Bombyx mori: one gene and its partner. The protein of the gene in region 1 binds, or shares a complex with, the protein of each later gene. Links are inferred from orthologs where the notes say so. Each region holds a gene or a part of one and is shown in the gene's direction. Other genes may lie near its edges.

What was found.
Region 2: the proteins of negative elongation factor D (region 1) and negative elongation factor B are in contact, whole or in part, in a crystal structure (PDB 8JJ6), measured with the Homo sapiens proteins. The link is inferred for Bombyx mori from reciprocal best matches to the Homo sapiens genes NELFCD and NELFB. Residues at the interface, in XP_047296144.1 of Homo sapiens: Arg63, Ile66, Met67, Glu68, Pro69, Ile71, Phe72, Leu75, Ile89, Gln90, Leu92, Ser93, Tyr96, Thr97, Ala98, Val99, Ala100, Gln101, Thr102, Val103, Asn104, Leu105, Leu106, Trp109, Leu110, Gln112, Thr113, Gly114, Val115, Gln121; in NP_056271.3 of Homo sapiens: Met49, Leu53, Leu56, Val58, Ala59, Asn60, Gly61, Leu64, Lys65, Leu68, Thr69, Leu75, Ile78, Glu79, Phe81, Gln82, Glu84, Asn85, Gly86, Val87, Leu88, Leu89, Ser91, Leu92, Ser94, Ala95, Leu96, Pro97, Phe98, Leu99.

What each region holds. Positions count from the first base shown.
Region 1 is NC_085111.1:9,519,531-9,523,826, forward strand, and holds the start of negative elongation factor D, read left to right. Parts: upstream 1-1,496; 5' UTR 1,497-2,118; intron 2,119-2,147; exon of another isoform or gene 2,148-2,410; intron 2,411-2,435; exon of another isoform or gene 2,436-3,452; intron 3,453-3,566; 5' UTR 3,567-3,593; coding exon 3,594-3,656; intron 3,657-4,225; coding exon 4,226-4,296. UniProt on the Homo sapiens protein: Essential component of the NELF complex, a complex that negatively regulates the elongation of transcription by RNA polymerase II.
Region 2 is NC_085125.1:6,339,891-6,343,782, reverse strand, and holds negative elongation factor B, read left to right. Parts: upstream 1-1,396; 5' UTR 1,397-1,551; coding exon 1,552-3,315; 3' UTR 3,316-3,392; downstream 3,393-3,892. Other genes in the region: CWF19-like protein 1, read right to left, coding at 1-66, 321-481, 560-576. UniProt on the Homo sapiens protein: Essential component of the NELF complex, a complex that negatively regulates the elongation of transcription by RNA polymerase II.

The sequences.
Region 1 (4,296 bases):
AAGGTCTTTGTTACTAGTTCATAAAATCCCTTAAAAAAATATTTAAATATCATATCTATGGCATAAACTTCTCGGGATCCTCCAAAAAGTCCACTGAAAAAATCTCAGTAAATGACCGCCATTTTACTGAGATCTCATTTCATTTCATGCCATGTTTCATAGATTAATCAACTTCAATTCATTTCATAGTATCATATTTCATAAAATAAAAAATACATATAAAAGATTACGCTGTGTGGTATGATACCTGTGCCTTTCCATTTGGAAAAATAAAACTACTACTAGCCCCGTGAGCTCACCTACTTCACCAGGTTTGAGCCCCGTGAGCTCACCTACTAAAGTTAGGGTTACGCTGACATAGCCAGGTGAATGAAGTTAGCCCCTCAAAAAAATATTTTTTTCCTATTTTATACTTATTTTCTATTAATTCGTTTGTTCATCATTTGTTCATGATTGTTCACTGTTAATAATTGTTTGTTCTGCATTTATTTATTTAAAAAAAAAAATTAAAAATATACCTACAAGTTAGCCCCTCTAATGCAATTTTTAATATTTTTCATCCTTAATGACTCGTAAATATTCATTTTCGATTGTTCTTATATAAAACACGTTTGTTCTCTTTCGAAGTTACTCGTTTTTTGTTTAATTTACTATTTTTATTAGTTGAATAAATGTATGCAAAATATGTGTACTGCGCATGCGTCAACTATAATGGCTAAACTTTCTACGCGGTTTTAGTCGTGAAAAAAAAACAAATATAAATCCTGAAGGAGCAATTAATTGGTATACAATTTAATTTAAAAAATTAAAAATAAAATAAATATAAATATGTAATAGTCGGATTTTTAATTAGACGAAGCCAGCTGACAGTAGCTAATGTCACTTTGTGAAATAATGTTGCTATATTTAAAGTAATAGTGATGCGTTCAGTTCTCGTTCAATCACATAAATGAACAATGAGTGTGAAGAGTTAATCATTAATTTCAAACTATAAAAGAATATTATTTATATTTTACAATAAAATTGTATTAAAGTGATCCAATATAATAATATGTTACTAGTAGTATGTAACTACAATCAGTTTTTTTTATTTTCATTACCTATGTACCTATAATTGTTATATTTTATACATCTATAGTTTCAACTATATGATGCATTGGAAATAGGACAGTCTTACAAGCTTCCTCGCAATGTTTTTCTTAATGTTTAAAACAGTCGGTATTCAGTACAGGTAGATACCATAGGAACATAATGTTTCGTCGAAAACTCGTTGGTATGTACAAAGCACGGCTAAAATTCGAACCCCGTGCCCGATATCGGCAGTTCGGCACACTAACTATTCACTAGACAATCGAGGCAATTTCATTAATTCAGGAGTTTTTTCAATCGTTCACTTTGTCACAACACTATTTTTATTTCATCAAAAACTGACAACACAGTAAACGTCAGTTTACTTCGTCTAATAAAAAATTAGTCGGATTTTTAATTAGACGAAGCCAGCTGACAGTAGCTAATGTCACTTTGTGAAATAATGTTGCTATATTTAAAGTAATAGTGATGCGTTCAGTTCTCGTTCAATCACATAAATGAACAATGAGTGTGAAGAGTTAATCATTAATTTCAAACTATAAAAGAATATTATTTATATTTTACAATAAAATTGTATTAAAGTGATCCAATATAATAATATGTTACTAGTAGTATGTAACTACAATCAGTTTTTTTTATTTTCATTACCTATGTACCTATAATTGTTATATTTTATACATCTATAGTTTCAACTATATGATGCATTGGAAATAGGACAGTCTTACAAGCTTCCTCGCAATGTTTTTCTTAATGTTTAAAACAGTCGGTATTCAGTACAGGTAGATACCATAGGAACATAATGTTTCGTCGAAAACTCGTTGGTATGTACAAAGCACGGCTAAAATTCGAACCCCGTGCCCGATATCGGCAGTTCGGCACACTAACTATTCACTAGACAATCGAGGCAATTTCATTAATTCAGGAGTTTTTTCAATCGTTCACTTTGTCACAACACTATTTTTATTTCATCAAAAACTGACAACACAGTAAACGTCAGTTTACTTCGTCTAATAAAAAATCCGACTATAGGTACAAACTAGACGTGCGCTAATCATGTTCGGAACTGGATTGAACATGACATCGTTCTTTTGAGTGTCGGAACTAGTTCCAGTAAACATGTTCGCGGAACTGTTTAGTTTCACGAACATGTTAAGTCTAGTAGCTGTTTGTAGTTTGTAGCTGTTTAGTTCCGCGGACATATTAAGTCTAGTAGCTGTTTGAAGCTGTTTAGTTCCGCGGACATGTTAAGTCTAGTAGCTGTTTGTAGTGTAGCGAATCACGTATTAAGTTATTATTAATTACACAATATTTTTCAAAAAAGGTATTAAAAATACAATTTTTTAAAAGCACTATATAAAAATAGATTGCCGCTTATGGCAATTATTATTGTAATTATTATTTTGTAAGGTTTTTAGTTTTAGGTTCATTGTTACAGCTGGTTGCATAATTTATTAATGTACTGTAATTACTTTGTCATAATTTCAACTACTCTACTACTTTCATTATTTTTCAATGTAGGTATTGTACGATGCACCGGAAACTATAACCTATCAGTTGTTAATTAAAATACCACGTTATTCTGATATACAACGTAAATTAAGCTCGTTGTAGCCTTACAACCTTTTTCCCATAACCGAGATACCGAATAGCGAAAGTGGTGAATGTTTTAAAATTCTCGAATTTTGAATTATGATTTTCTAAGAAATGGTCCACAAACACTTAAGGTTAAGTGCTCGTAGGAATGATGCATGGTCAAGGTCAAAATCCATAGCAAAACATTTTAATTTATTCAACTATCGACTGTAACACGTAGGTCGTAGAGCATAACTTCAATATTAATAAAAATGTAATATGAAAGAGCTCCACACGCAGTTTCATGCACTCGCTCCATCTCACTCTCTCGTATTCGTGCCATATGTCGCCTTATCTCTTTACGTGGACTCGTGTCGTTTCGAGACTCGTTCGGGTGGACTCGCCGCGCCACGCCTCCGCGCCGCGCGGTACCTATGCTCTAATCATGTCCGCATGTCCGTCATGTTCAACGCGTTCGTAGTTCCTGCATAACAGTACACTTGGAATGGAAATGGAACTGTCTGAACATGTTAATTTTGACAACTCGGATTGAATGATATAGTTCCATATGAGGACATAGTTCCAGGAACTATTTAGGTCCGGAACTACGCATGTCTAGTACAAACCTTATTAACTCCATGGTACAAACCAATTCATTTTTCATAATAGTAAAAATTAAAATGTTGTTTAGTTTGAAAAAAAAGGTTTTTTTCATATTTAATGAATATTAGTTGTTTTAACTTTGATAATCAAGGGCCTCAGCATCATAAATTTGTTGTTTGTTTAAAGCTGTACGTGTACCTTTTCCGATTAATCTTTATTTCCGTGTAAACACGAATAAAAACACATAGTTATAAGCAGTAGCAATTGTTTTGATCAAATCTAATAAATATTATATTTTATAGAAGTTGAGTGCAACTTAATATACAACCATGCCTAGTCAGTATGAGGAAGAACGTGTATGGGATGGTCAGAATCATAATAATCAATATGAAGTAAGTTAATAATTTAATTGGTGCTAATAGGTATTTTTTTTAATATAGTGACTTATTACAATTTTAAAGTAAATACATTTTATGAATATAAACTGATTTTAAAAACTCATCATTTGTTTAATAAATCTGATGCTGAACAATATTTATATTATTCCATAAAAAACAAATTCTGTTAATTAAAACTTAGAAAAAAACAAGATTTATGTTTTGTTTCCCTGACTACCTAATTCTCTTACATCTATATATCCATTATCTGTTTTAAAAGTAGCATTTTATCTTTTTACTAATTTAAATGAATATTTATATTATTTTACCAATCCTTGTCATACCATTGAAGAGTGGTTAATATGATTAAAATAAAAGTTACAACCTGAACAAATGTAATTAATCCTTAGCCAAACAGAGTAACATTAAGAACACAAACTGAAACCTTAACACGAACTGAGAACAGGCAATTCATAATTTCATTGATGTTATTAATCAAAATAAGTACTTACAAATAATTACTCCAACGCATTTTGTTGTGATATGTAGTTTGATTTATTAAACTGGTAAATAACATTTATTAGGAAGAAGGAAATGAAGATGTTATTGAGAACCCTGAAGAGGTATTAAATGAATGTCTGGAAAAATTTAAAAC
Region 2 (3,892 bases), on another chromosome or scaffold:
CTTCTTCACAGTAATGATGTACATGGTCTGGATTTGATGGACCAAAAACATAGGTTGTCACTGGAACTGTAATTTGAGATTGTTGATAAAAAAATATATAGTCAGAAAAAAATGTATTCATAACCCACCCAAATTAATATTGACCAATTCCAATGCCTCAATAATGTTGATGCTTCATCCTCACGTGGTAGTATAAGCGACAGTATAATTATTATCAATATGAAACATGTAGAGGTTCCAATGACTATCTCATACCGGGTCGACCGTAAACTAATGAGCCCATCTCTATCGTATTAAAAATTTTAAGTCAACGTTTTTACCTTTCCTCGTTCCCATTTTATATGCATCCAGTTGTGAATTATCATCTCCAAAGAATGTTCCAACACATAAAAGCAAATCAAACTGTCCAGATTTCTTCACAATCGATTCTACGCGCGTAAACAAAGCATTGAAATTCCCATTTACATCTCCACATATTAATCTGAAAAGCAGTATGTATTAATTCATTTCAGTTGTTTGCATTGCTTTCAAACTAAGACGAAAACCAATCAGTAATTACGTTTTCTGTTTATCCATTTTTATACACAAGTGAAAGGCATTTAAATTGGTAATTTGATTGATACAAACTTTTAGATTTTAGATAAAACACTGTCAATTTTATAGAATTTAAGGCTTGGTAACGAGTCGTTTGAGCCAATAAAACACAATAATTATGATAATGACAGACTACGAAGAGATTACAAATAATATTGAACGGCTTTTAATCTGTAAACGTTTTCACTTGTGTAATAACGGTATGTGGGAAAATGAAACAAAGACGCTGGACTTAACTTCTCGGGCTCCTCCAAAAAGTACACTGAAAAATCTTAGTAAATGACCACCGTTTTACTGAGATTAGATTTCATCTCATATCATCTCATTTAATTTCATCCTAGTTGATTAATGTCTCAAATTAATCATTTTCATTTCATTTCACTCCATAATATCATTTTTCATAAAATCAAGAATATAGATTAAAATAAGACATGACTTAAAAGTCACAGTTACCAGGTCATAAAATCTCTTAAAAAAAAAAGTAATAACGGTGGTTTATTAGCTGTTTAATATCTGTGAAATTGCACAAATGTGGGAAAATGAAACAAAGCCGCTGGACGTAAATTCTCGGGATCTCCAAAAAGTCCACTTAAAAAGCCTTAGTAGATAACCACCATTTTACTGAGATTATATTTCATCCCATATCATCTCATCTCATTGTATTTCATACCATGTTATTAATTAACCAACTTCATTTTATTTCACTTCAAATTTTCATTTTTCATATATAAGAATATATATGAGTAGGCGTATGGTATGACATATTTGCCTTTCCAGTTAAAAAAATAAAACTACTGCTCGATGTCAAACGTCAATATATGCTTAATGTCAGTTGCTTGTCAATAATTTCTAAGCAGGAAACTAATTTATGTTATTTTCTGTTGTTGTTAACTTTATTTAAGATTTATTTGTGTTGATTTATTAAATGAACTGAAAAACTGAATTAAATTAAGATCGATGGCGTCGTCAAGTAAACTACCAGGCACTGGTCTAGAAGAAGTGGGAGTACCAGGACAAACTTTCTTGCGAGATGCTCTGACAAGCTGTACCGACCCATTGAAAGCTATTGAAGAGTTTCAACTTGAAAACGGTATTTTATTGCCTTCTTTAAGGCCGATGCTGCCTTTACTAGACCTCCATGGCGTTCGGCGGCTTGACTTTCATACATCAGTTCTGGAGGAATTACGTGAAAAACTCATTGCCCACATCAACGAGCTTGGCAATAAAGATAACAAGGATAATGACAAAAAACTCAAAGAACTGCTATCTAAAAGCTTCCCAGTCGTCAGAGTTAAAGCTTTAAGACCTGTTATAATGGGTATTCTTAAAAATATCCCACATATAGATGATAAGTATCTAAGGGTACTAGTTCGCGACAGAGAACTGTACAATGACACAGATACTGAGGTGAAGCGTCAAATATGGCAAGACAACCAGTCACTGTTTGGAGATGAAGTTTCTCCACTCCTCAGTCAGTACATCAGGGAGAAAGAAGATGTTCTGTTTGATCATGAAAATCTTACAAATCTATTTTTTTCCCCTTCCCCAAAAGTAAGGAGACAAGGTGCAGTTGTTCAGAAACTTGCCCACATGATAGGTACTAGTGTTAAGTTATATGACATGGTGTTACAATTCCTGAGAACATTATTCTTAAGAACTAGAAATGTTCATTATTGTACATTAAGAGCAGAGCTTCTCATGGCCTTGCATGACCTAGAAGTTCAAGACATCATATCTGTAGACCCTTGTCATAAATTCACATGGTGTTTGGATGCTTGTATCAGGGAAAGGAATGTAGACATTAAAAGATCTAGGGAACTGCAAGGTTTTTTAGACAGTATTAAAAAGGGACAGGAGCAAGTTCTAGGAGATCTTTCTATGACGTTATGCGACCCTTATGCTATCAATTTCTTAGCAACGTCAGCTATCAAAATTTTACAACATTTAATAAACACTGAAGGGCTACCTCGAGATAGTACAGTTTTAATACTACTGCTAAGAATGTTGGCATTAGGGTTGAGCGCTTGGGTAATGATCGATTCTCAAGAATTCAAAGAGCCAAAATTAGATAGTCAATGTGTCACAAAATACTTGCCTGCCTTGATGTCATTGATGGTGGATGATCAAGTGAGAGCACTACATAATAAGTTACCTCCAGATGAAAGAGAGTCTGCCATCACTACGATAGAGCACTCGGGACCTCCACCTGATGCTTGTGAAGCCTATATGAGAGAAAGCTCAGTTTGTGGTGTTATTGCAATGTACTACACACTGCATGCAGCCAAATTACGTGACCGTGGTGCCTTACTTCGCATTCTTAGTATTCTCGGTAGTTGTAAAGATGGTAGAGCATATGAAGACCCATTTTTGCATGCTTTAGTGGCACTTCTAGTACAGTTACCTGATGAGTTCCAAGGAGAAGATTTTAGTACTGTATTATTTGATGAATTCTTCTTTGCTGGACTATCTAAGGATAATGTGACAAGACACTTATTGAAATTGCTGTGGTATATTCATCCAAAATTACCAGAGACTAGAATTCAAACTCTTATGAAAGCGCTGCAGCCTGGAACTCAGCATAATGAATCTGTACATAAATTATATGAGACTTTACAACAGAAATTAAATGCGCAAACAGAACCCGGTCCGAGTGCAACTGAAATGGAATATCTGGACTCCCCGTTAATGAGTGTACGCACGCCAGCACCATATCATATGTAGCAAATATTCATTGTTCATTATTTACTTTTAAGTTATAGACATTATATAAATTATATAAATATTAAAACAATTTAAAACATGTTTTCTTGCAAAACATTCCAAACAAAATTATTGTCTTTTCTTAGATTTATAAGTCAGCAGTCAGTTGATTGTCTGTGGTTCTGGCATTGCTTTCGTCCATGAGCGATGGTTACAAAGGGGGTCCATTAGAATGTCTGCATAAAAGGGCAATAATTTTGTTTTTAAGGTTGACCAAAGGGAGACCAAAATTTCCCTGACAGAAGCATTTAAACCAACACCAAACCGTGCGTTCGTCTCCAGTGTTCACTCTATACACGTCATTAATGTTGTGAGGCGTTTCTGCGGCATTGATGCCGCGACGAAACTCGTTTTCCATAATTACTATTTACGTGTCCCGGCAATATTATAAAACGGCAATTTCATAGGCAAAGATCTATTACTCGTACAATTAATATAAATATGATAGTGCTGGTAATTATGTAGGTAACTAATATAATAGGGGTTAAAGTATGAAATTGCTGTTGTATTGTAATAGGTACTTCGAATTGACATAGAA